Mus musculus: one gene and its partners. The protein of the gene in region 3 interacts with the protein of the main gene of each other region in a pairwise test. Links are inferred from orthologs where the notes say so. Each region holds a gene or a part of one and is shown on either strand. Other genes may lie near its edges.

Region 1 (6,173 bases), on a different chromosome or scaffold from region 3:
ACCACAATCACCCACCATGCAAGTGAGTGAGGTGCCTCCCTCAACTCCTGCCAACCCTAAAAGATGGTGGGGATGGGGCCCAAGGATGTTTTAAAACACATTCTTCACAGGATCCTGAAGCAACTAGCCCAGTAACTGGCGTTAAAGACTATGGATGGATGCCAGATGTGGTGGCACGCCCCTTCCATCCCAGCCCTTGGGAGGCAGAGGCAGGTGGATCTCTGAGTTCGAGGCCAGCCTGGTCTACAGAGTGAGTTCCAGGACAGCCAGGGCTACACAGAGAAACCCTGTATCATTAAACAAACTAACAAAGGAAGAAAGAAAGAAAGAAAGAAAGAAAGAAAGAAAGAAAGAAAGAAAGAAAGAAGAAAGAAAGAAAGAAAGAAAGAAAGAAAGAAAGAAAGGGAAAGAGAGAGAGAGAAAGAAAGAAAGAGAGAGAGAGAGAGAGAGAGAGAAAGGGAAAGAGAGAGAAAAAAAGGACAAAAACCATGGGCTGTGCTTTTACAAGTCAAGATCTGGACACGTGTAAAAGTCTTACATAGGTACACAATCCCTAAAACCTGTCTATAGGCACTATATACCCGACACAGAGCCATAACTTACAAAGGTGCACATGACACAGAAGACACACATCTGTGCCACATGTGTGCATACCCCCAAACACCCACCAGAGCCAGCACATGGATCACAGATTGCCACAGAACCACCACATCGACACACACACAGCCCTGGGCAAACACAGACACCCACCACACACCCAGTGCATACGCACATATCACACGGAGGCTCACACTAAACAGATGCTAGCCTGAATTTATTTTGCCTCTGGGAACAGGTCCAGAACTAAAGGAGCCATGCTCTGCTGATGAAAACATCCCTCCTGCCTCTACCACCCCCACCCCTTGCCCCAGGCAGCTGGCTCGTGGTCCACAGCCCCTTGAATGACTGGAGGAGGGTAGAAGAGAGAAAGATGGGATAAGGTGAGGCAGAGGCTGAGAGTGGTATTCTAATCTGCTTGGAGACACCCCCCAAATCCAGCCCAGTTCTCTTCCCTTGCCCACCAGGAGACATCATGGGGCCCGGAGTCAGTGCTTGGTCAGGCCAGTTGACTGGATTCTCAGGCCCTGGTCCTACAGAGCAAAAGGCTTAGGGAGTAGCTAGATGTGGGGGCTCCCAGTACGTGGGGCCACTAAGGAAAGGGCTGTCTGGAGTGCCTTCCTGCAGCCCTAAGGCCTGAGGCCCCCATGGAATGTTACCACAGAAACAGGGAAAATATTATAAGGAATACAATACCCGGCAGAGTCACCTGCTCACCAGGCTTCCTGCTGCGCTACCCACCCCCCAGCTCATGGCACTTAGAGCCTTCCCTAGCCTCAACCTGGGCCTCCCCGCCAGAGCTCTCCTTCCTGTCTCCCCTGGATTAGGGAAGCTGCTTCAAGCGAAAGCTCTGCCCTTCTGTGGTTCCAAACAACATCAGGGATGGTGCACTGGGCCCCTCACTCCTGGTCCCTACCCACCCCCCAACACAGGAAATCAAGGCTTCCTGCCCCAGAGGAAGTGCCCCATCTAGTGAACAAATCCAACATATACAAACTCAAAGTCCTGGAGCTGGCGCCTCCAAGGGGACCTGCCTTCAAGCCCTGCAATACCCCATACTCTCCTGCAGCCTCCAGACCACATCTAACCAAGGAAGAGCTCAGAATAGATGCTGGCAGAGGCCGGTCTGGTTGGTGCCATTCCTTGGCTAGGTGACTCTGGGCCTTACATTATTAGCTCACCTTTCTCTGGGGGCTCCTGTCAACGTTGAAACGACCAGTTCTTAAAGAAAGGCAAAGAGCAAAGAAGGCCAAGAAAGAAGTGTGCCTACAGCTATAAAAAGGTCCTCATTTCCAATCCCATCACAACTGAGCCACTAGGAACTAGATAGGTGAGAACCATTATCCCTGAGACAAGGACACAGGAGGCTCTGCCTGTTCCCTTACTCCCCGTGGATTACTGACTGGCTATGTGCGGTTGGTCCCTCTAGCTCTGAGCTTTGGAAAGTGAACTGAGAATCCTCCCCACCCACCCACCTTATCATGTTAATTTTGAGAAAAGCCTGCTTAAGTAAGGTGACCTGCTTAGAAGAGAAACCTTCTTTGCCTCAAAGCTCAGCATATGCCCTTGAGACACAGAAAAATGCCCCAGCTAAGGGGCCAAACTGAGCAGCAGGGGGCTCAGATGCACCCTGTACCTAGCTTTTCCAACGCACAGCTCTGAGGGTCTAGCTTGGAAAGGACATCATAAAACTAAAGACAGAGACACAAGCCTCAGCCCCATTGGGTTCAGGACTTGGTCCAATCTCAGTTATCTGGGTACCATACACTGGAACTGCTTTGTGCCTCATTTCCCCCCCAGGAATCACTGTAAAGAAGAAAAGTACTTAGTTACTGAGGGGAGACGTGAGGCTGCAGAGAGCAAGGAGGTTAAGAGTGAAGGATGATTTGCGGCGGATGGAGAAGAGGCTCGGAAGGTTGGCACAGAGGGGAGGCACGACCGCAGCCCATGGGGGTCCTCTTGGGAAGAAATGGGTCACCTAAGTACAAGTTAGAGGATAGAAACCAACCAAAGTGACAGTCTGCAATGGAATTTGAGCAAATCTAGGTAAAAGTCTGGAGGACTAGCTCCTGATTCCAGATGTTGCACTCCCTCCAGGGCCACCGAGGGCCAATGTCCTATTATCACCCTGAAACTTTGGCAGGCAGAACTGGGCCTCAAGCAGATGCTGCGTTGGGATGTGGGAAGGGATACTTAGCAGCAAGCCAACCCCGCCAGATGATGCAGGATGCTTTGGGGGAGTGCTGGACAGCCAGCAAGGATAGTTCAGGGAACCAATGGTCAGCCCTAAGTCGGCCCCAAACCGGCAGCCAGTGAGAAATAAGTGGGACTCATTAAGCGACCTGCATGCAGGACTTAGGTTTTTCTTCCAACTCAATTGGCGGAGAAATCGCAGTGGCGAAAAGACAGTTCAGTTGCCAGATTTGCCCGGGTTCTCATACTTCTCAGTACTATCAGACTGGGGGTGGGTGGGGGTGGGGGGGCTAGATCCAGCTCCCCACCTCCCTACCTCTCTCAGTACTCAGCCTGCGGCCCCCACTTCCCCACGCCTTTAACTGTCCTCACTGCTAGGCTGAACACAGTGTCTGTCTCTCTATGATGGGTGATCAAGGATAAGGGGTGATGCTCAGAGAAATCTCCCAGCCCAGTACCCCTCCAGGGGACGTTTCCCTCAGCTACAGGATCTGAGTAGGGCCCTGCCCAGTTCTACAAGACAGGGGCGCTGATGTCCAGCCCTGCAAGTTCTGCGCCAGTTCAGTGGGTCCTAGCCTTTGCCCTCCCGCTTCCAAACCTTTGGTCCCGGAGCACCGCCCCCTCCCGGGCCTCGGCGGCCGGCCGTGCCTCCCGGATCCCGGGGAGGAGGGTGACGGGACGCCCGGCCCTTGCACAGGCGGCCCCGGGCCTCCCACTGCCTCCCCGGGGCCTGTCGCTGCCCGGGAGCGGGCGGATGTGGGCGCCCCGCAGGAGGCCGGAGCCCTTCGGCCCCGGAACCAGCCGGGGCAGCGAGCGGGCCAGAGCCCGGGCGAGCGGGCGCGGTCCAGGGCGCGCGGAGGACCCGGCCAGCCGGACCGGCCGGAGACCCAGCCGCAGCCGGAGCGGGAGCCGGGGCGAGCAGCGCAGGGTGCCGCGCGCAGGGCGGGGCGGACGGGGAGGGGGTGGCCGCCCGGTACTCACCCGCGCCGGGGCTGTGCATCCAGGGGCCGGGGCCCTCAGAGCCGGGGGCTCATGGCGGGCGGGGGGCCGGGGCGCCGGCCTCACATCCCCCCGGTCGCCGGAGGCTGCAGAGCGACTGTGAGACGGCGAGAGGAAGGGAGGGGGCCGGGAGGGGGAGGGCCCTGGCAGCCTGGCCGGCCGGGTAGGATGACAATGGAAGGAAATGCTTTATCTGAGTCTGAGAGCGGGCCAAGGGGGAGGGGAGGGAGGGGGCCGGCGCTGGCGGCCCTGGGACACACCACCCGGGCTTCGCTCAGCAGCACACAGCCTGGCGGCAGACACCGATCGCGGCGGGGCGCGGCTCACCGCCCGGGAGGCAGCGCCGAACCCGGAACGCGGGACGCGGCCGGACCCGCGCGCGGCCGCGGAAGCCCCAGCCGCCGCGCGGCGCTGCGCCCCGCGCACAATTCCCGGAAACCCAGATACCTGAGTGCACGCACCCGTGCATACACAGCGTACACGGGCGTGCATCCATGTTTACACAAGCCAGGGTGCTTTACGCTTCGGGGAAGGACTCCTGTGCACACATCTACACACTTAAGTCAACGAGGGCAGCGCTACACACAGGGAGAGCAGGGCACGCTTGGAGTCTCGAGCAAGGAATCCCAGACGGACACCCCTGCCCCATCCTAACACACACACACCACACACACACACACACACACACACACACACACACACACGACTCTCCTCAGGAACACTTCAGGATCTGATTTGAACCACTGCCAGTCCAACCCCAGTGGCACCCCCCGCCCCCACTGTCTGCTGAGGGGAGCAGAAGGGTCCAGTCTGTTCCTATTAAAAGAAAAAAAAAAGGGGATGGGGGGTGGTGCAGTTTTCGAAACTTAAAAAAAATTTTTCTCAAGGGATTTCCTTCCATCCTCTCCTCTTCCTCTTCCATTCCTCTCCCTCCACAATGACCCTCCTTTGCCCCCCCACTCCTGGACCCTATGAGTCAAACTTCAGCAATGTGCCCAGTGTCCCCCAGTGCATTACAGCGGATCACAGAAATGTTCCAGTCTGTGAGTCGGAATGCAGCCGCCTCCAGCCCTCCCTCAGCTAATAAACTCAGCTGAGGACTGGCTTTGCACTGAAGCCCTCCCTGCCTCTCCCCCATCTTAGACGGGAGGAGGTCAGATTCAAGGGTCAGGGGCCGAGGACCTTCCCACTGAGTTTCCTGGCTTGGCCTGTCAGTCCTGTTGCCTCCAGCAATTTGGCAGGTCAGAAAACTGGGAAGGGAGAGCGGTCATTCACCAGGAACACTATGCTCCCCTGCCCTTGAGGTGCCCGCCACTGAAAGGCAGCTTCCTTCTGGTCCCAATCTACTCTCTGAGTCCTCGGAACTCCAAGAACCTTTAGAAGGGGAAAATGAGGCAGACCTAGAGATGTGATATCTTGGAAGCCAGAGTCTTGAGTGGCCTAGAGGGACGTTGGCCATGTTGCTAGGTCACACACAGGTCTAGACTCATGTGCCCTTGTTCAGCTGCTAAGTGTAACTCCTCTGTACCTGTTAATGGGTACTACAACCTTGCCCTAGCATCCATGGCCTCTTGCAATGTGGCACCACACACATCCCTGCCCAGTGTCTCCTGGTACTTTGCTCAGAGGTAGTTACCGTTATTACTACCACAGCCAGCCCTGTCAGCTAGCTGTTCATGTCCCCATACTTACCCACTTCCTTGCCTTGGCCTAAGACACTCCCTACAGAGTAAATGCCGCTCTACCTTTCTCCCTTCTGTTGTTGAAATCCCTTCATCTCCTCTGAAATGTTTCACGATTTCTGTAGCCTCAGCCGGAAGGATTTTCTTTCCCTTGAAGGACTCCACCCCAGCACTGATTTTCTCCCAGCCGCACTGACCCTCAGCTGTCTAGTCTATGAGTCTGAATCTCTTCTTTATCACAAGTGTTCAAGGTACCTAGCTTGGAAGCACTGCCTCAGCGTGGCTTCCGAGTTCTTCATTGACTCATGAATATTCATGACCTTCCAAGATCTCCCTCCAGCTAGACATCTCTAATAGACCCTCTGTCGGAAGTTGTCCATTCTGGCTCTGCTAGACACTTCCTCATCCACTGAGCTGTCTTTCCAAACCAGAGCACTCTACTTCCAACGACTTCCGTGAGGGTTACAGACTTCAGGGGAAAAAAGAAACCTGTGTACAGAGGACCCCCAATCTCTCTTGTTATCTCTCTCCTCCTGTAACCGTACATTGCCCCCACATCTTCCTTTCCTAAAGCTGTTTCTGTGCTGAATTTCTTGTTCGTTAATTTCTACTGGCGCAGCATCCGTGCATCTGCTCCTGAAGCTACCTCTTCTCTTCAGTCTAACCACTGACTTCTGAGTGATTGGGATAAAGATGTGTGGC
Region 2 (5,913 bases), about 4.7 Mb from region 3:
ACCAAAACAGAGCACATCTTTCAACAATTACTCACCAGACCACCATGTTACCATTAGGAATTACAGAGTTTTGTTTCATGCTACAGTGGTTCCTGAAAGGCAGTAACTAAAACTGCTATCCTAAAGTCCCAGAGCAGATTAGAACAATCACTATCAAATCAGCTCCAGCCCTTCTCTCTTCACTTGAAAATCCTGTAATCTCTCCCTCAACCATCAAGTGAAACTGGAGGCAAGTCATGCTATCTCTAGAGTGTGATATTTGCACATATGGTTGTTCAGTAGGAAGTACTATAAAGTAACAGAACTAATGCCTATTAGAAAACCAAGAAGAAACAGAAACTACAGAGACATGCCCTGGAATTTGAGAGTCCCTGACACAGAGGTAACATTTAGAAATGCAACCCACAAATGAACTAAATGTGGACAGAGACACAGGAAGCATTCCATTATAAAAAGATCAGTGCTCAAGAACAAAATTAAGGCATCAAATGAATAAAGTGATTCTAGGAGTCATTCAAGTACCCTACAGTCTATTGAAACCTAAATGCTATTGGACCCAGAAGTGGCTAGTTTTATGTCAACCAGACACAAGCTACAGTCAGTCTTAAGTTAAGAGGAATTCTCAATTGAAAAGAAAAATGCTTCCACCATAAAGATCGGGCTGTAGACAAGCCCATAGGGCATTTTCTTAATTACAGATTGATGGGGAAGAGCCCAGTCCTTTATGGGTGCTGCCATCTCTGGGCTGGTGGTCCTGGGTTCTATAAAGAAGCAGACTTAGCAAGCCATGAGGAACAAACCAATAAGCAGCACTCCTCCATGGTCTCTGCAACAGCTCATGCCCTCCATATTCCTACTTATTCTGAGTTCCTCGAATGATGGGCCAAAATGTGGAAGAGTAGGCCAAATAAATCCTTTCCCCTAACCTGCTTTTGGTCATGGTGTTTCATCGCAGAAATAGAAGCCCTGACTAAGGCATCATATTTCTCTCTCCAAATACTAAATCTTCCAAAAACAAAACTGAAGCCATCCACCATCCATTTAATAGTGACAGAAAATTCTGACGTTAGACCAAGAGCATATTCATTGGTCTGTTCCAAGGCACATGTTTTCGAATATCCGTACAACAAACGGAGAATACAGATTTCCCTTAACAACTTTCATTTTAAATGAAAGCCTCTTGAGATGTTTTAGCTGCTAACATTTCGCCTGAAACAATCAGTGTCTCCCAACTTCCCCTGGAAGTAACAGGTTTCCAAAAAGAGAATGAGCAAAAAGTGTCAATATTCACAGTCGGCAAAGAAAATTAGATCGGTACACCACAAGTAAACACAAGGAAGGGGCTCACTCCACAAACAAAACTTTCTGACTTTACTTTGGAAAAGTTACACTGACTCAAACTGCAAGACACTCTTCGTCCCTCCTGAAAACTGTGGCATCCACACGCTCCTGACACTAACAGGGGACTCCGGAGGTCGCCCACAACCACCGGCTTCGGATTCAGGATACGCGCATCAGTGCCGCACCCTGTTCTGACCCCCAGATAAAAACCCTCGGGGCCGAGCTCACCAGCCTGGGACGTGAGAACACAGCTCCACAAGCTCTTGGTCTGGAGAGCGCTCAGGTGAGGCTGCCTCGTCGCCTAGCAACGGTGAAGCTGCCCGTTCTTCCGCAAGCGTCAATTCCTCCCGCCTCTGAGAGAGTTTTTAAAAGGTTTTGTTTCCGGGTCGAGCGGGCTTTAAGCAACGGAAGGTCTCTTAGCCGCCCTTGTTTAGTCTTGGGGGAGGATAGATTCTCGGTGGAGCGACGTGTGCTGTCGCTCAGGGGTCGTTTCTCCTCCCTCGAGTTAACGCCTCCTCTCCTGCCAATTGCTGAGCGCCATCAGGCAGGCGCCTCACTCAAAGCACCAACCCTCTGCTCACAGACGCGCTCCAATCACCGAGGCTCAGCCCCGGGACTACTTTGCAGCGAGGCGCGTAGGAAGAAGGGGTTTGGGGGAATTGTAGTTTAGCACTGTCAGGAATGCACGAAGGTGGGCGCCAGAGGTCGCCGGAAGAACTACACTTCCCAGAAAGGGCCGTGTCTCCAGCCGAACCTTTGCGGGCCAGCCCCGCGTTCTCTCCCAGAGTCTGTTCCGCTGTAGAGGTGACCTGACTGCTGGAGACTGCCTTTTGCAGGTGCAGAGATCGGCCTTGCAGTTTGCAATAATGGTGAGTGTGGGCTCCTGGAACCTGCAGCAGCTCCGGCCTCTCGGCCTCCTCCTGCGCTTGATGCGCTTTTAAAAAGCAGTAATGCCGGGAGCTGTCCTCCGCGCGGTTTGCAAAATCTGACTCATTCTCACGACTGTCGCAGTAACCCAGATACTGGAAAGGGGTTCGCAAGGACTCTAGAGAAATCACTGTCCTTGGAAAGTCGGGTCTCAGTCCTTGCGCAGGAGGGACAAAATTTTCTCCGAAGGACCTTAAAGGATTTGTTGTGGGGGATGAGAATTATGGGAGGGGAAGAATTAGGTCCTAACACTATTTTGCCTCTTAAGCTCTTGGAAAGAATAGGCCTCTGATGTTGATTTACCGGTAGTGCTCCAGGTTATGATCCCAGTTTTCAGGAGACATGTTTCCACCATATTTGATTTAAAAGAAAACAAATGTTACTGAAAACCTATTCTTGATCTCCGTTTGTAATGACAGGACTAGCATCGCTAGTCAAACAGTGCCGATATTCTTTACTACTCTGTCATAAATTCTGAAGGCCTCCTTGCAGATGTAACGTAACCATCTTGTTGAAGCTCTAGATCTATCTTGTCCTCAGCGGGCGGAGGGGGGTGACGTGAAAGAGAGCTCTGACGTAGGACTAATCTTCATGCTGTTTGAAGGTGACATTTGCCACCAGACTGGAAATTGCTAAGTACTTTGAAATTTACATTTTAAAAATACGTGTTGTCCTTTAATATCAAGATGGGAAATGTGAGATGAATTGAAAATTTTTGGATGAATTGGAAATTTCACAGAACCCAAGGAGACATGTTTTCAAACAAGGACAAAAACTCCCTCAATCTCTATAAGAAACCCTAAGGGAATAATTACTAATTTCCAGTCATTGTTGCCTAGTTATTTTGACACATAAGTAGTTATTTAAATTATGGCTTAAGCAGTCTCTGTCTTAATAATTTTAGTAATAAAGTGGCACTAGTTATCCAAGAACTTCAGACTTTAGGCTGTTAGGCCTATATGAAAACCTTTTTACAATCATCTTATCCAAAACCCCACTTTAAATACTAAAATTTAATTTGTTGAGACTCAGAATGCGAGTTGCTCAAGGTCATAAGGCTTGCACCTAGGGTCTCTTGTTCTTCCCATTTACCAGGATTGTATTATGTGTTTGGCAAATCACTTCATAATCCCCTTTAGGAAATAAGTCCACAGAATCAGCATGTAACATCTGATAGCTTTGTTACATGTCATTCAGAGTGTTGAAATTCTGAAGTTAAAGGGGCATTTAAGGATTGTTTCATCTAATCTTAAAACAGCCTGTCATGGTCCTTGATTTCCCAAGGTCAGAGAGATCCAGGGCCCCTAGTTAGAGTGTAGAGTTTGTTATTCACTAGATGGAACTGGCCTCACCCTTAGAAGGTCACATCTGGGCCAGAAGACATGAGTTGTTCCAGGTAGAAGAGTTCTGTGATGTTGCAGTCTCACATGATTCATAACCATCTTGCCTCCTGGGAAGAGGATGCAAGCAAATTGCTGCTTTAGAAAAGACCTGTCAGTTCCAGTCACCGTGGTGGTACACGTCCTAAATCCCAGCTCTTGGGAGGCTCTGTGATTTCAAAACCAGCTTGGACTACATACTAAGTTCCAGGCCAGCCAGGGCTGCACAGGGAGACCCTGTCTCATAAAAAAAGAAAAGAAAAAAAAAAAAAAAAAAAAAAGAAAGAAAGAAAAAAAAAGCTGTCCTTTTTTTTTTTTTTTTGACAATTCAAATCCTTTTTAAAAGGAACTCTGTCATTGTCCATAGGGGAATCAGCTAAGGACACCTAGAGGAATCTGAATGATACTGTTTGTCTTTTATATTGCAGAAAAATGTGCAAATAGAAAGTAAAAAGAGAATGCTATTCTGGGGAATAACAGAGGGAAAACTTAAAGCTTTACAACTAAACAATACATTCTCAAAGCAGCCTGTAACCGCAGGAAGGTCATTAATGCCCCGCAAGAGAGAAGCCATTCCTTTTTGGGTGTTGGCAACATGCCCAGATATCTGAGCAGAGAATAGTAACCCACACTGGCACTGTTACACTGTGTGTGACAAGTCAGTGAGGCTCTCCTCCCCCCTGCTTCTCAACTGCAGTATCTCAGGAAAGCAGGAGGAACCAAACTGGTGTCTCCTTTACCTACTTCATCATCAGACCTTCAAATACTAAGGTAACCCCTTAAGCCGGAAGTCACCAGGCACAGAAGGAAACTGCTAGGATAGAATTAACTGTTGATTCTTGGCCACAGCCTCTTCACTACAGGCTGTGATACTGGGAACACGTTTTTAATAAATGGCTACATAATACTGTCCTGGCCATCAGCTAGACTAGGTTGAACTTTAAGAGGAGATTGGCACTTTCCCCTCCGTTCTTACCCAGCTTCCCTCACGTTGTTCAAGTTGAACTTGGGGGCTTTGGGCAGTGGTGATCTTTTGTTGTTTTAGAGTCTCACAGTAGCCCACACCGGCCTTACTCTTAGAAATCTCAACTTCCTGTTCCCCTATCAGCCCTAGGATTGCCGCCACACGTCACCATGCCTGGTGGCAGTGTGCTTTTGTTTTTGTTTTATCTTTTTTTTTTTTTTTTTTTTTTGACTACCTTTTAGCTTCACCCTTATGTTATTCATTTACATGACAGTTTACATTGAAACCTGTATGAAGAGCACAAATTTTAGTCAAAGGAAAACTGCTCTGAGGAGAACCTCACACTCTAGCCTAGATGACAGATGTGTAGATATATAACTGCTGGGGTTAAAGGTGTGTACTCCACTGCCTGGCTGAAACACCTTCACTTTTAAAAAGCACATTCATTCACTCTCCTTCCAGCTGTGTGCATTTCAGTCTTTGTGGAAGCTTACTTAGGCAATGGAGCTACTTCTTAAGCAAGTATTTGAGTTCCAGCTGTGTACCTGTTTTTATCTACCTGGTGGGATGTAACAGTGGCTAGAATTCAGATTGTAGGAAGATTGAGAAATAGGCAAAACCCAGAGGATAGGGAACAGCCTCTCCCTTCTCATTTCTTAACTTCAAAAGAAAGATAACAAGATGAAATACATATACAGGATTAAAGATTGGTCTGTAATAGTTAGTAATAGTTCCTGGTAATATCAGAATATAAGTCTTGTAAAGCTATGTATAGCAGAAAATAACCATATAGAATAGTGTGTTCTATTCATTCATGCAGTTTATTTTGGACATAGATACATGTTTTATTAAGTACATATTAATATAGATGCATATTTTATTAAAGTTGGCTTATTTAGGTATTAAATTTAATGTATCTAGTGATAAGGAAAAAGTAGGAAAGAAATCTAGGTATCAAAGAGAATTTTTCTCCATAGATTTCTGAGGTTTTATCTTTTGGTTATATTTTTCTACTCCTATCCTGGGTATGTTTTTGAGGAAGAAATCCAAGTAAAATCTCCTATCATCAGATTTTATGGCAATACTCAGTGAATTTTCTGTTTTGACCTCTGGGAACCACGTTCCTGACTTTTGTCAGTTTCAGGCTGTTCGTCTTTCCATCTCAGCCGGATGAGTCACTAGGAGAGACAGTTCTAAATAAAAAGAGATTAAATGTTTCTACATCAGTCCATTTAGTGGGCCATTTCTTCATGCAGAGAGGGACTGGGGTAGCCCAGAGTCCTACCAGTACTCAGCACTCTC
Region 3 (5,472 bases):
GACCCTCCAGGTGCCAGGACTCCTGTGACAGGCTTCGCTGTTCCCTTCAGTCACTGGAGTGGCACTTGGGCTGTCCTTGTCACAGACCTCTGTCAGATTTGAATGTTCTGGCTGTACTGAATCTAGTCACTCACAAAGACATTGGCTCCGCCTCTCTCTGGCTACAACAGTTCACCCACCTGGGCTGCAGGTGGCGCCTCTGTACCTGGTTCAAGAGAACTCCCCCACCTCCACCATGCAATTTGGCTTTGCAAGTTTACCTTCTACTTTCCAGACAAAATAAATATATTTTTTTAAAAAAAGATTAAAAGGTGGGTTTATTTGGAGGTGGCCATAAGAGTTCGGCACAAAGATCAAGAAAAAAACCCTACTGCTTACCTTTGCGACAGGGCCCATCACATTTTTTACACTTGCGGATGCCATCTTCTTCCACTTCGTAGTAGTCAGGCCCACAGGCTCGGACACATGAGCCATGATCTGTCACCACGTAGTTTCCTGAGGAAGAGGCAATGAAAAGAAGGTGTTGAAGGCTACAGCAGGTGCTCCTAACCTTCCACAAACATCCTCATGTCCTGCTGTGTATGGGCTGCTAAAAAGGTCCCTCTTAGTTTGGTTGACTTCTCTTTGAGGAGAAAGACTGACAGATTTCAAGTAGAAGAGGAACCAAGCTCTAGTCTAATGGCTTTTCTGACAGTAATGTGGACAAACACAGATACTTGATCTCAGGTGCAAAACAGCTATGAGAGGAAACACCACCATGCGTGTTCACTGGCTGAAAGCCCCTTGCTGAATATGAATTTCCTCTGACAGGTCTATGCTTAGAATATACAAGGAAACCTAAGATATGTAGTACACACACACTAATGCTTATCAGACAGACCATGTCCCATTGAGGTAACTACAGTTTCTTCTGTTTGATACCAGCTTTGCCCTTCCCCACCCATCCACCATGCAGTTCTTGGTGGGACAACGAGGGGACCAGTTTGTTCTGCTTCCTAGACAGGCGCCCCAATCTTTCTCTCCACTCCCTTCACCTTTATGTAGTCTAACCTAATTAATATTTATGATTACAGTATTACTAGAAACTCTATGCTCCTATTTTGAGTTTCTGAAATACATGCTCAAAATGTGGGCATTGGTACTATATCTGTGAGTCATATGCTCTTGTCATCATAGGTTTTGTTTCCTGCAGAGTTTAAAGATCTGTTACTAAGCCTTCACACAAAGATTCTATCTATGGCATGACTGTCATGAGTTTTTCTTCATCTTAGTTTTCCATTTACCTTATTCTCTAGCTCTCCCTCTTCCTCCCCCTCTCCCTCCCCCTCTCCCTCCCCCTCTCTCTCCCTCTCCCTCTTCCTCCCCTCCCCTCTCTGTGTGTGTTTTCTAATGGGACTTCAATCACCTAAATCTAGGTAGGCAAAATCTCACCCTTATAGTTTCCACTTTACATTTTTTTTTGTCTTAATTTACTTTCTAGAAGTCAAGATTGGTTTTAAGGCTCTTTATGAGTTGTTTCACTTTCTCTGTTTGGGACCGATCTATGTTGCCATTTTCCTATAGGTACCATAGAGTACCATCATACATGAATAAAACTTGAACCCAAATGAGTAAATCAAAGCAAACCCAAAACCAAAATACTCCAAGAGCCCAGCCATAGCCCTAAATTCTTCTCCTCAAGGGGGTGGGTCTGCTGCCTTTTCTAATTTAGGTCTGTTTAATGCAGAGTCAAACAATGCAGAGTCAAACAAAGGTTGTCCCAGAGGGTCACGACCTTGTGTTAGTCAGCTCCAAGACACTCCAGGTTACTGAAGCTTCCTCTCTGACTTGGGGTGAAGCGATAGGTGGTTTGTACTATACAGTCTGGCTGCCAGCAACACTGGATCAGTGCAGGTCAAGCCACCCTTTAAAGGAAGGCATCCTGACTGCTGCAGGCTGCCTCTGCCTCCATTGCTCAGCACTGAGTGGGGTTCTCATCCTTGCACCTGTCCAGGCAGACACTAGCCTACAGGACAACAAGGCAAGCACAGTGGCTGCCTCCAAACTGCCCAGGACTCTAGCATAAGACAGAAGAGGAAATGAGGACTGTTGGGTGAAAGGGCAAACTCACGGGGGCACTTCTTCACACAGGTGGCACCAAAGCTGTACTTCCCTTCAGGGTTGACATCCATCTGATAGGTGGTGGGGTTGTACAGCATGAGTGGTGGGCAGGTGTCTTTGCATGTGGCCTCATCTTGGAACTTTTGGCAGACCTGTCATAGGAGGGACAACATGTCTGGTCAAGGATGTGGCATCCAAATGAAAGGAACCCAGTGCCAGGCAGCCTGCAGGTCAGTGGGACAGTGACAGTTTTCGGTGTTTTACATGCTCAATTAGAGAGGAAAAATGTCTAGTAAGCCTTTCCAGGATAGTCAGAAACACCTTCCTCTTATGAGTACTAAGTATACATTTTTAAGTATACTGACTGTCTCAATTGATACAGCCTAGGGTTTGTGGTTAAAAAAAAGGTAATAATGAAATCTACACATGATATTGGAAAGTATGCTGTAACTATTTTTAAACTCAGTTTTTACTGGGTTTCTTTCATAAAGAACACTATAAGAATATATTTTATAATTTATGGACAAACTGCAGAAATCTTAGCAAGAAGATTCCATGTAGAGAGCTGTTGGATCTTTCTAAGAACTCCATTTGTAGTTTTATCCCCGGGCTGCCCATTTGAATCAGACCAGACTACCCAGGTGAAAAAAAAAAAAGATGCCTGGAGCTAGGTTTAGTTTATAGAATTTAAGAATCTTCTGTTCCAGAATGATAGAATACTCTAGACTCTACCTTTAGGTGGACTTCCTTTTCTGGAGCCTAATGGAGTTTGCTTGGGTTGGCAAGGACCCCAGGAATCACATTCACTAACCCCTGACAGCTGCAAAGTTAACACTAGAGCTTTCACCAGAGGTAGAGGGTCTGAGGGGAGACACTGTGGGATGGGGTAGGATTAGGAGGGGAGCAGCCCAAGAGGCATGAAAATATGGTGTGCACATGCCATACTGCCCAAAGGTCTGGGTAACTGGGATGGTTCTCAGGGGGTCTTACAGAAGAAGAGCTCCCTTCATTTCTCATAATGTTGCTACTGTTGTCCATGACAACACTTAATTAAAATGTGCACCACATGAAGGCTGCTGTCACAGTCAGATGTCGAGCACGTGCACAGCTCTGCAGCACAACTCCCCAGTAGCCAGAGTCTTACCAGACAGTCACTCTCTCGGGGCCCTGTACACCCCGCAGCACATTGGTTGTGGCAGCAGTCACTGGGGGACCTGCCACGACAGCGATGGGAACATTGCTGGGCACAGATGATTTTGGTCACTGAAAAAGAAAGATTACCAGTGAGCTGTGTTTAAGTGGCAGCTCATCTTCTAGAGACACCAAGGAATGCTTGCACCCAGTAGAAAGAAATAAAGGAGGAACCATGGGTTTTGTGACAGGGAGCAGCTTCTAGGCTTTCACAGTCAGCCAAACAATATAATCACAACTTTCCCCTTGGTACATTTTTATCATTTATCTCAAATCACTTGGGAGAAATAATCGAAACAAGTCTGATCAGATCTTTTGAATAAGTAGATATTATCTAGGGAATTTCTGGCAATACAGAAGGCACATAGCAAGAAGAGCTCCTGGCAGGAGGCAGTGTTTAAAGGAACGAGATAGTTAGGTCACAAAGGCAATGAACTACAGTCAATTTTGAAGCTGACACACGCCCAGGTTCTTTGAGTGAAGCAGTAACCATGCTGAAGTAAATTAAACTTTGTTTTTTAAGTTAGTAGGATTCACACATGAACTCTGTGGAGCAACACCGTCAAACTTCTATATTAGTTGGCTCTGGAAAACGGGGAGGATTGGATCAGGGGACAAGGCATCCTGTGTGTCACCATGGACACTTGGGTGGTTGGCTTTCTTGCATTTAATGACAGGTTAAATTATCCCACGTAGTAAGCCTTAGATAGTTGTGCACTGTGATGTTTCCAAGACTGATGCTCATGAAGTGGTTAACTCTGAGTCTTTTGCCAAGCTCCTGTACTTGTTCAGTCACAAAGCGGAGGAGTGGAGGACCACATACTGTGTGGACTCCCTCACCAGGGCATGTTTCTCAGGCCCTGATGCTGCACTGACTTACATTTCTGGCAGTTCTCCTCTCCTCCTCCCCAGCAGCTTCCATTGGGACAGCTTGGATCACATTTGGGGCCTGAAATAAAAATCAAGTAGTTAAATGTGCATTTCAATAAAAGTAACAAATAACACGCAACTGACAACTCTCTCAAGGTCCTAAAGAATGTCCTAGAAATGAGGAACAGCTTGGAAACTTTGTATTCATAGTTGGGTTGGATGCTTTGTAAGCTAAATTAAAGGACTCCTGCACAAAAGAAAAAATGGTGAGCCTTGGGCTGCTTTTGCTTGTACTTCAGCTGTGGAAGCTGAGACAGAGGTTACTTACTGACTTGTCACAGCCACACAAATGACAAAGCTAATGAATTTAGGGTTTCGGAGGTGCCACCTGATTAGGCTTCTCTCTAACCAGATCCGCTCAATGTACACTTATGCACCTTGCTACATTCAGTCTTGACTGACTGTGTGGGGCAATCATCACTAGATATTTAGGATGTTATGTTGAGTCTGGTAAATGAACACTCCTTTCCTCCAAGCCATGAAGTGGTGCAGAACATGACACAGGAAGCGAACATTCTAATTCTGTGAGTCACTTGGCTAATCACCTAAAACCTTAGTTAATAGCTGGCATACTACTGTCTGGAAATCTTTGTAATTGCTAAATATTTGTATTTTTATAGTTGGTCAATATCAAGTTGCAGCTGCAAAGGGTTTCTATTCAGCCATTAATCATCCTGAGAACTGACGATCAACATGTTGACCAGCACAGATGTTGAGAATTTCTTTCTGGGAAGCACATTTACTTTTCTCGCCTTCACTTTTTTGTGGTGCTGCTTACTTACCACCTCCATTAGGCTTGTAGAGACCACTCTGCTTAGTTCTGTAGCCCTCTTCGGGCAATCTTATCTCACAGAACAATTTTATTTCACATGGAAGCTTATTTGACGGTGTCAGAACTCTCTTTGCAACTTGATACTTGATACTATAAATATTTATCCTCATGTTTCCTTCTAGAACTACACCTATATTTTGTATAAATATAACATATTTATTTATATATACTTACATATACTTAATACATATTTGGAACTTATATTGATGCATGGAGTAGCTGATGATTTTATGTTTTTTTTCTTTCTCATAAATTCACTCTTATAACCTCAATTTGTAAACTTTATCAATGATAAAATATGTTGGCCACAGTGGGCTGCTCTTCTGAATCTCAGATGCCTCACATGTATAGCATTTAAAGCCACCTCATAATACTGATTTTGTTGTTAAAGATGAAGTGCAAACTTCTCAAAAGGAACG
Region 4 (6,189 bases), on a different chromosome or scaffold from region 3:
TTCTGGCCCTCATAGGCACCTGCACTTATGTCTGAGACACACACACACACACACACACACACACACACACACACACGCACGCACTCTCTTACTTTAAAAACGAATCCTTTGTTAAAATGGATATTAGCCCGTGGTCTCTCCTGCTCCCCTAGCTTCACAGGAATGGGTGGAAGGAGAGTGTAAAACACAGTCCCCAGTGAGGAAAGTCCTGACAGCCTGAGGTGGAACCAGAAAACTTCCCTAAGATCTCTATTCACACCATGGTTCAAGTGGTTATTAGTACAAAATAATTACAATTTTGCAGAATACATGCTGGGCATAGTGGCACACAGTTTTAATCCCAGCACTTGGGAGGCAGTGCAGGGTTGGGGGGTGTGGATGTATGAGTTCGAGGTTAGCCGGTCTACAGAGTGAGTTCCAGGACTACTGAGAGAAACCCTGTCTCGAAAAACAAAAACAAATACAGTTGCCTGGATGTAGTCATACACACATTTAATACCAGCATTGGGGAGGCAGAAGTAGCTAGATTTCTGAGTTTGTGGCCAGCCTGGCTTATATAGGGTTCCAGGACAGCCAGGTTTGTTGGGACCCTGTCTCTAAATGAACAATCTGAGGTCATCAAATGGGAAAATAAGATTTCGAAGCTCCATTTAGATGCTAGCTGGATGGTAGATTTGGGGATGTGGCATAGAATCAGTCGGGATCCTTCCCAGAAGCCCCTCCAGGTTGATGTGGAGAGCCCACCGCTCACCCTTCTCTGTCCCTTTCCCCACTCCCCAGGTGGGTGATCTACAATGACCAGAAAGTGTGTGCCTCTGAAAAGCCACCCAAGGACCTGGGCTACATCTACTTCTACCAGAGAGTGGTCAGCTAAGAGCCTGCCCTCAGCCCTTCCACTTGAAGCAGGGGACAGACCATCTGGCATGAGGGACGGCTGAGGGATGGACTTCAGCCCCTGCTCTGTACCCTTTTTGTTTTTGTCCCCAGCAGTGGGAAGGAGCTGGAGGTCATAGGAGAATGGCCAAACAAAGAGGAGGGGTACTCATTAGACTCTGGGGACAGAGCAGGGATGGGACAGGAGGGGCCAACTGCCTGTCCACAGTGGGACCTTGTTGCTTCCTTCCCCTGCCCCTTGAATCCACAGTGCTCTGCTTCTCTGTGATGGCCCAACCCCTGATGTGGGGCGGGCTCTTACCTGTGTGTGTGTGTGGATGTGGCTTTATGCATCTTTCCAGGGGAGGGAGCGACTGCGCCTCCCCTCCCCTTAAGTGTTTGCTCCCTTGTGGTGGGGCAGAGGAGGCTCTGAGGGAAATAGGACCCTCCCCACACCCTTTGCCCTTCTGCCTCAGCCTCCGGTCTGTCTTTATGGTCCTCTGGAAAAATGCCAAAATACATGATGTGAATAAAAGTACGGGGGCTGACTGGTTTCAGTTCTTTGGGGGAGACTTACTAGTTCTGGGGAGGATTACTGGAAGGGGAAGGTTTAGAGAGGCCCAACTGGGGTCCTTTGCCGTCCCCCCCCCCCAGGCAATTTCCTTTTCTCTAGCTCTAGAAATGCTCAGAAAACTGAGGTGGGGGGATGGGAAATAAAGGGAAAATTCAGAAGCGAGGCTGCATCACCCCCCCCCCCCCAACTGACCATGCACTTGGTCTAGCCCCACTGTTGCTGGGCAAATGAAGGACCTAGGGCAGGGTGGGCAGTCCACACTGACTGATATCAGCTGACTCCTTTACACGGCTGCAGCCAGCCTGCCTCCCTCCCTGCCCCCCACACACTAGTGTCCCACTCTGCTCCATTTGGCCAAGGTCTGACAACTGCAAGGACCCCGTAATCACCAGCGACGTTGGTGACACACTTGGCCCCCTTCCTTGTGATTACTGGAAGGGCTCCTCAACCGTGACTTTGCTTTATGCTATGAGGGAATGGGGCGCTTTCGGAGTTGGAAAGGTGCCCTCAACCCCAGGGTCCAAGGCCCTGCTGCTGTCACCTCCACAGGAAATGCCCCTTGGTCTTCTGAAATCCCAAAAAGTTTGTTTCCCTGAGCGCGAGGTTCAACATCTCAACTGTCGAGCCACTGAGGCAGGACGTTTGAGCCCCCTGAACCCTCTAGAACATTGATTGCTCTAGAACGCCAGAACGTCGAAACACCGGGAGGTGGAGAGGCAGATGGAGGGGAAGGCGGAGCAGCAAGGGGCCGGGCTAACCATGGCGGAGGGCGGGGAGAAGGAGGAGTTCTGCTTCACAGCCATCTATATAAGTGGCCAGTGGAGAGAGCCGTGCGTTTGTACTGACCTTCAGAGACTTGAGCCTGGTACAATGGCGCCTACCAGGAAGTTCTTCGTTGGGGGCAACTGGAAGATGAACGGGAGGAAGAAGTGCCTGGGAGAACTCATCTGCACCCTGAACGCAGCCAACGTGCCGGCAGGCACCGGTGAGCTCTCTGTTTAGCAGGGGCGGCGGGACGTGGGGGTGGAGGGTCGGGCGTGGCACCACCTGCTCAGTGTCTGAGTGGACCTGGATGGTGGCCTGGGGACAAGAGCCATTTGGTGTCCCGGCAGCAGAGACTTGCTGAAGAGGAAAAGCATTTAAATGCTGCACTGGGTTTGTGGGGCCCGAAAGGGGTTCTTGGGGTTGGGGGCAGGGTGCAAAGAAGATCGCCCTTGGGAGTGGACCGGAGCTGCACCAGTTAGGGGTTAGGGTCGAGAAGAAGAACCAGTGTCGGGTTGGATAAGCAAGTGGCACGTGTCCCCCAGATTGTGAGGGAGGAAGCTGAGCTTGCGCGGGCTCTCAGCTACCTGCCCCCTCGGCCTCTGGCTCCGTGCGTCTCTGCACGTAGCCCGAAACTCCTCCCCGCGCCGTCGTATGCTTAGGCCTCTGAGCTGGGGGCTTCCACATCCCTATCCTTCACAGCATGGGCCACTCCTGCCTTCCACCTTAGGCCCCTAGCAGATGCCAAACATGCTGAGCCGTTGGGGAATTAAAAAAAAAAAAAATTCAGCTCTTCTCAGACTGGAAATAGGAAAACACAAGGTCTCTGTGGGCTAGTCAGTTCCCTGCTGCTCACGACACTACCCCTCCATCCTTCCCGCTTCTACCCACCTAAATCGGGGAACCTGGAGAATGGCCAAAGGGTATTCTCTCTGATCATCCATTTCCCGAAGAGCCCAATACAAACTCCCGCGGTGGACCTCTTATGCTAAAAAATCCTTCCCGGGATGGGTATGTGGGATGGGCTATTTTAGAAAGGGGTTACCCCTGGAGAATGCTGAGTCGAGGAGATGCCCATTCCCAGAATAGCCTGAGGAAATTAGAGCCACAGCTGTTAAAAGAGCAGAGGGCAGGGTAAGGGCCGTGGCCTATCAGAGGCATTGGGAAGGCTCTGGTATTGCTACAGGCCTAGCCTGGGCTCTGTAGTGGACAAAGGTCAACTTTCTGGACTGAAAAACGAAGGAAAGTAGAACCAAGAAAGTGAATGCAAGACCGGGAGCCTGAAGAGTGAGGGGCTTTCTCTGATCTCGTCCTCAGAGGTGGTTTGTGCACCGCCCACCGCTTACATCGACTTTGCCAGACAGAAGCTGGATCCCAAAATTGCTGTGGCCGCACAGAACTGCTACAAAGTGACCAATGGGGCCTTCACTGGGGAAATCAGGTGAGATGGAGGCAGAGAGGGATGTAGAGGGAAAACCTTCCTCGTGAGGGCTTCTTGCCGAACTTTGGTGTGTGTTTGTTTTAGCCCTGGCATGATCAAAGACTTAGGAGCCACCTGGGTCGTGCTGGGGCACTCAGAAAGAAGACATGTCTTTGGAGAATCAGATGAGGTCAGTAAACAGGAGGGGAGATAGGGGATGCTTTGATCCTGGGGGAGAGGGTATCTTACCTACCTAGCATTTGTTCTTCAACAGCTGATTGGCCAGAAAGTGAGCCACGCCCTAGCAGAGGGACTCGGGGTGATCGCCTGCATCGGGGAGAAGCTAGACGAAAGGGAAGCCGGCATCACCGAGAAGGTCGTGTTCGAGCAAACCAAGGTCATCGCAGGTATCTCTGCAGACACGGCTCTCTGAGTCTAGCAAAGGCCACAGGGATGGAGGCGGGAGGTCAAAGGTCCCACAGCCTGCCTGAGTCATACTGACCCCGGGGAAAGAGGGCGACCTGAATGGTTCTTGTCACTGTTCCTACAGAAGGCTCAAACCCCACCTTCAAAAGCTAGCAGGGTCTGTGGGTAAAGCCTGAGGCCCTGAGTTTGAGTCCTCCAAAGACAGCCACGTGGTAGGAAAGATCCAGCTTCTACAAGTTGTCCTCTGCCCTCATATGTGTGCTATAGCTTGTACACACGCACGCGCACACACGCACGCACAAGTTGTTTCTAAAAGGGGGAAGGAGAAGCCCACCAGGGGCTGTAGGCCATAACTGTTATAACAGGAGAGCTTGGCGGGTCAGCTCCTTCCTACTCACTCTCCTCTCTGCCCCACAGATAATGTGAAAGACTGGAGCAAGGTGGTCCTGGCCTATGAACCTGTGTGGGCCATTGGGACTGGCAAGACGGCAACCCCTCAGCAGGTAACTACCCAGAGCTCCTCAGCCTGTCCGGCTTTAACAGACTCACACAGCTATGGAGCCCATCCAAGCCCCTTTAGAGACAGAGGGCCCCCAAACTCACCAAGGAGAGTGACTTTGCCAAAAATGTTCATTCCAAGCCTGGTGGGATTGGAGCCTTGCCACTCTCTGGTCCCGGGGCTTTTCTGGAAACTCAACTCTATGTGAGAACCAGTGGTTTTTACTCCTTGAATGATAGATAGGAAGGAGCTTACTTAGTAGCTCTGCCTCCTCCTTCTAGGCACAGGAAGTACACGAGAAGCTCCGGGGATGGCTGAAATCCAATGTCAATGATGGGGTGGCTCAGAGCACCCGGATCATTTATGGAGGTGAGTGGCTTTGGCTCTAGCTAAGACGGAAATGGGCTAAGACAGACTGAGGCTGCCTTGCACAGAGAGGTGGGGCTTAAGTGTTCTGATCATAGACCTGACCAAACTGTCTTCTTGTTCCTGGTACAGGTTCTGTGACTGGAGCAACCTGCAAAGAGCTGGCAAGCCAGCCTGACGTGGACGGCTTCCTTGTGGGTGGCGCATCTCTCAAGCCTGAATTTGTGGACATCATCAATGCCAAACAATGAGCACTGCCCATCCCTCTACCTGCCTGCATAGCATGGACTAGGTTGCCCAGAAGTTTAGTAACTGCTCCCACCGGTCACATGCTTCTGATGACATCATCTGCCCCATCTTGTGGCCTAATCCACGCTGTACCCTCCTGAGCCGTTTCCACCGCCCTATTATGGTTGGGACCAGGCCAATCCCTTTACCACTTACAGTGGGTAGAATCAACTGTCACCAAGGTGGCTCCTAGTGAGGGGAGGGAGTAGAACTGACTGTCCCTTTGGGCCCTGACAAGTGAAATCACCTTCCATTGGTTTGGGCTGGAAACTCATGGTTGGAGCACAGGAAGTGGGCTTCGTGTCACTTTGGCCTGTCACTTAGATGGCCTTGGCTCTAGCTTCACTCCCAAGTTCTACTGGATGTCTGATGCAGAAATTCAGAGCTTTCGGGTCTGAATTCGGTATACATGAGACCCTAAGAGGCCTGGGATAGTCCCCTCCCCCACGGTGCCAAAGCCCCTGTATTGTGTTTGTGAACCATCCTACATGTAAGGGAAATAAACACCTGGGCCTGAGCTTTGTGGGTTGTCATAATTCCTTAAGACAGTGATGGGGCTCTAGCCTGGGGTGGGGGAGTGTAAAACAAAACAAAAAACAATAATGAAACAGGTTGTGACAATACATCTCATTTTTTACTTCAAAAACCTCTTTGTCCCAGGCTGCCATGGTGTTTAATATCATTTCTATATGTCTTGCTCCTGTGAGAAGGGGAGGTGAAGGGGTCCAGCCCCCCCCCCCCAGCTTCACCAGCTTTTTAAAGTTGTCTAGGCCAGCGGGTGCCTCTCCACCTGTCCCCACGGTAGGGTGCCAGCACACCCTGTACTACTGGGTCATTTGTAGAGCAGATAGCGCTTCATGGCAGGGGGCAAAGGCAGAGTGGATATTTGACCCAGCCGGGTGTCCCCCAGAGCATGGCGCACACACAGGCGGCTCAGGTGCAGAAGGGATTGTGGTTCCTCCACTGCGGAGAGAGAAGGAA

The links.
Region 1: the proteins of Egfr (region 3) and Hdac7 interact in binary tests that used the Homo sapiens proteins (3 or more experiments, as listed by UniProt). The link is inferred for Mus musculus from reciprocal best matches to the Homo sapiens genes EGFR and HDAC7.
Region 2: the proteins of Egfr (region 3) and Mdh1 interact in a protein complementation assay, tested with the Homo sapiens proteins (2 studies listed by BioGRID and IntAct). The link is inferred for Mus musculus from reciprocal best matches to the Homo sapiens genes EGFR and MDH1.
Region 4: the proteins of Egfr (region 3) and Tpi1 interact in a protein complementation assay, tested with the Homo sapiens proteins (2 studies listed by BioGRID and IntAct). The link is inferred for Mus musculus from reciprocal best matches to the Homo sapiens genes EGFR and TPI1.

Annotation. Positions count from the first base shown.
Region 1 is NC_000081.6:97,827,588-97,833,760, forward strand, and holds the start of Hdac7 (histone deacetylase 7), read right to left. Parts: upstream 3,909-6,173; 5' UTR 3,791-3,908; coding exon 3,772-3,790; intron 3,719-3,771; exon of another isoform or gene 3,099-3,718; intron 1-3,098. UniProt on the Homo sapiens protein: Responsible for the deacetylation of lysine residues on the N-terminal part of the core histones (H2A, H2B, H3 and H4).
Region 2 is NC_000077.6:21,568,027-21,573,939, reverse strand, and holds the start of Mdh1 (malate dehydrogenase, cytoplasmic), read left to right. Parts: upstream 1-2,005; 5' UTR 2,006-2,207; coding exon 2,208-2,210; intron 2,211-5,913. UniProt on the Homo sapiens protein: Catalyzes the reduction of aromatic alpha-keto acids in the presence of NADH. Plays essential roles in the malate-aspartate shuttle and the tricarboxylic acid cycle, important in mitochondrial NADH supply for oxidative phosphorylation.
Region 3 is NC_000077.6:16,865,999-16,871,470, reverse strand, and holds part of Egfr (epidermal growth factor receptor isoform 1 precursor), read right to left. Parts: intron 4,241-5,472; coding exon 4,172-4,240; intron 3,364-4,171; coding exon 3,245-3,363; intron 2,253-3,244; coding exon 2,111-2,252; intron 496-2,110; coding exon 379-495; intron 1-378. UniProt on the Homo sapiens protein: Receptor tyrosine kinase binding ligands of the EGF family and activating several signaling cascades to convert extracellular cues into appropriate cellular responses.
Region 4 is NC_000072.6:124,810,251-124,816,439, reverse strand, and holds Tpi1 (triosephosphate isomerase), read left to right. Parts: upstream 1-2,281; 5' UTR 2,282-2,317; coding exon 2,318-2,432; intron 2,433-3,526; coding exon 3,527-3,650; intron 3,651-3,734; coding exon 3,735-3,819; intron 3,820-3,903; coding exon 3,904-4,036; intron 4,037-4,472; coding exon 4,473-4,558; intron 4,559-4,835; coding exon 4,836-4,923; intron 4,924-5,052; coding exon 5,053-5,171; 3' UTR 5,172-5,854; downstream 5,855-6,189. Other genes in the region: Usp5 (ubiquitin carboxyl-terminal hydrolase 5), read left to right, coding at 781-874; Spsb2 (SPRY domain-containing SOCS box protein 2), read right to left, coding at 6,041-6,171. UniProt on the Homo sapiens protein: Triosephosphate isomerase is an extremely efficient metabolic enzyme that catalyzes the interconversion between dihydroxyacetone phosphate (DHAP) and D-glyceraldehyde-3-phosphate (G3P) in glycolysis and gluconeogenesis.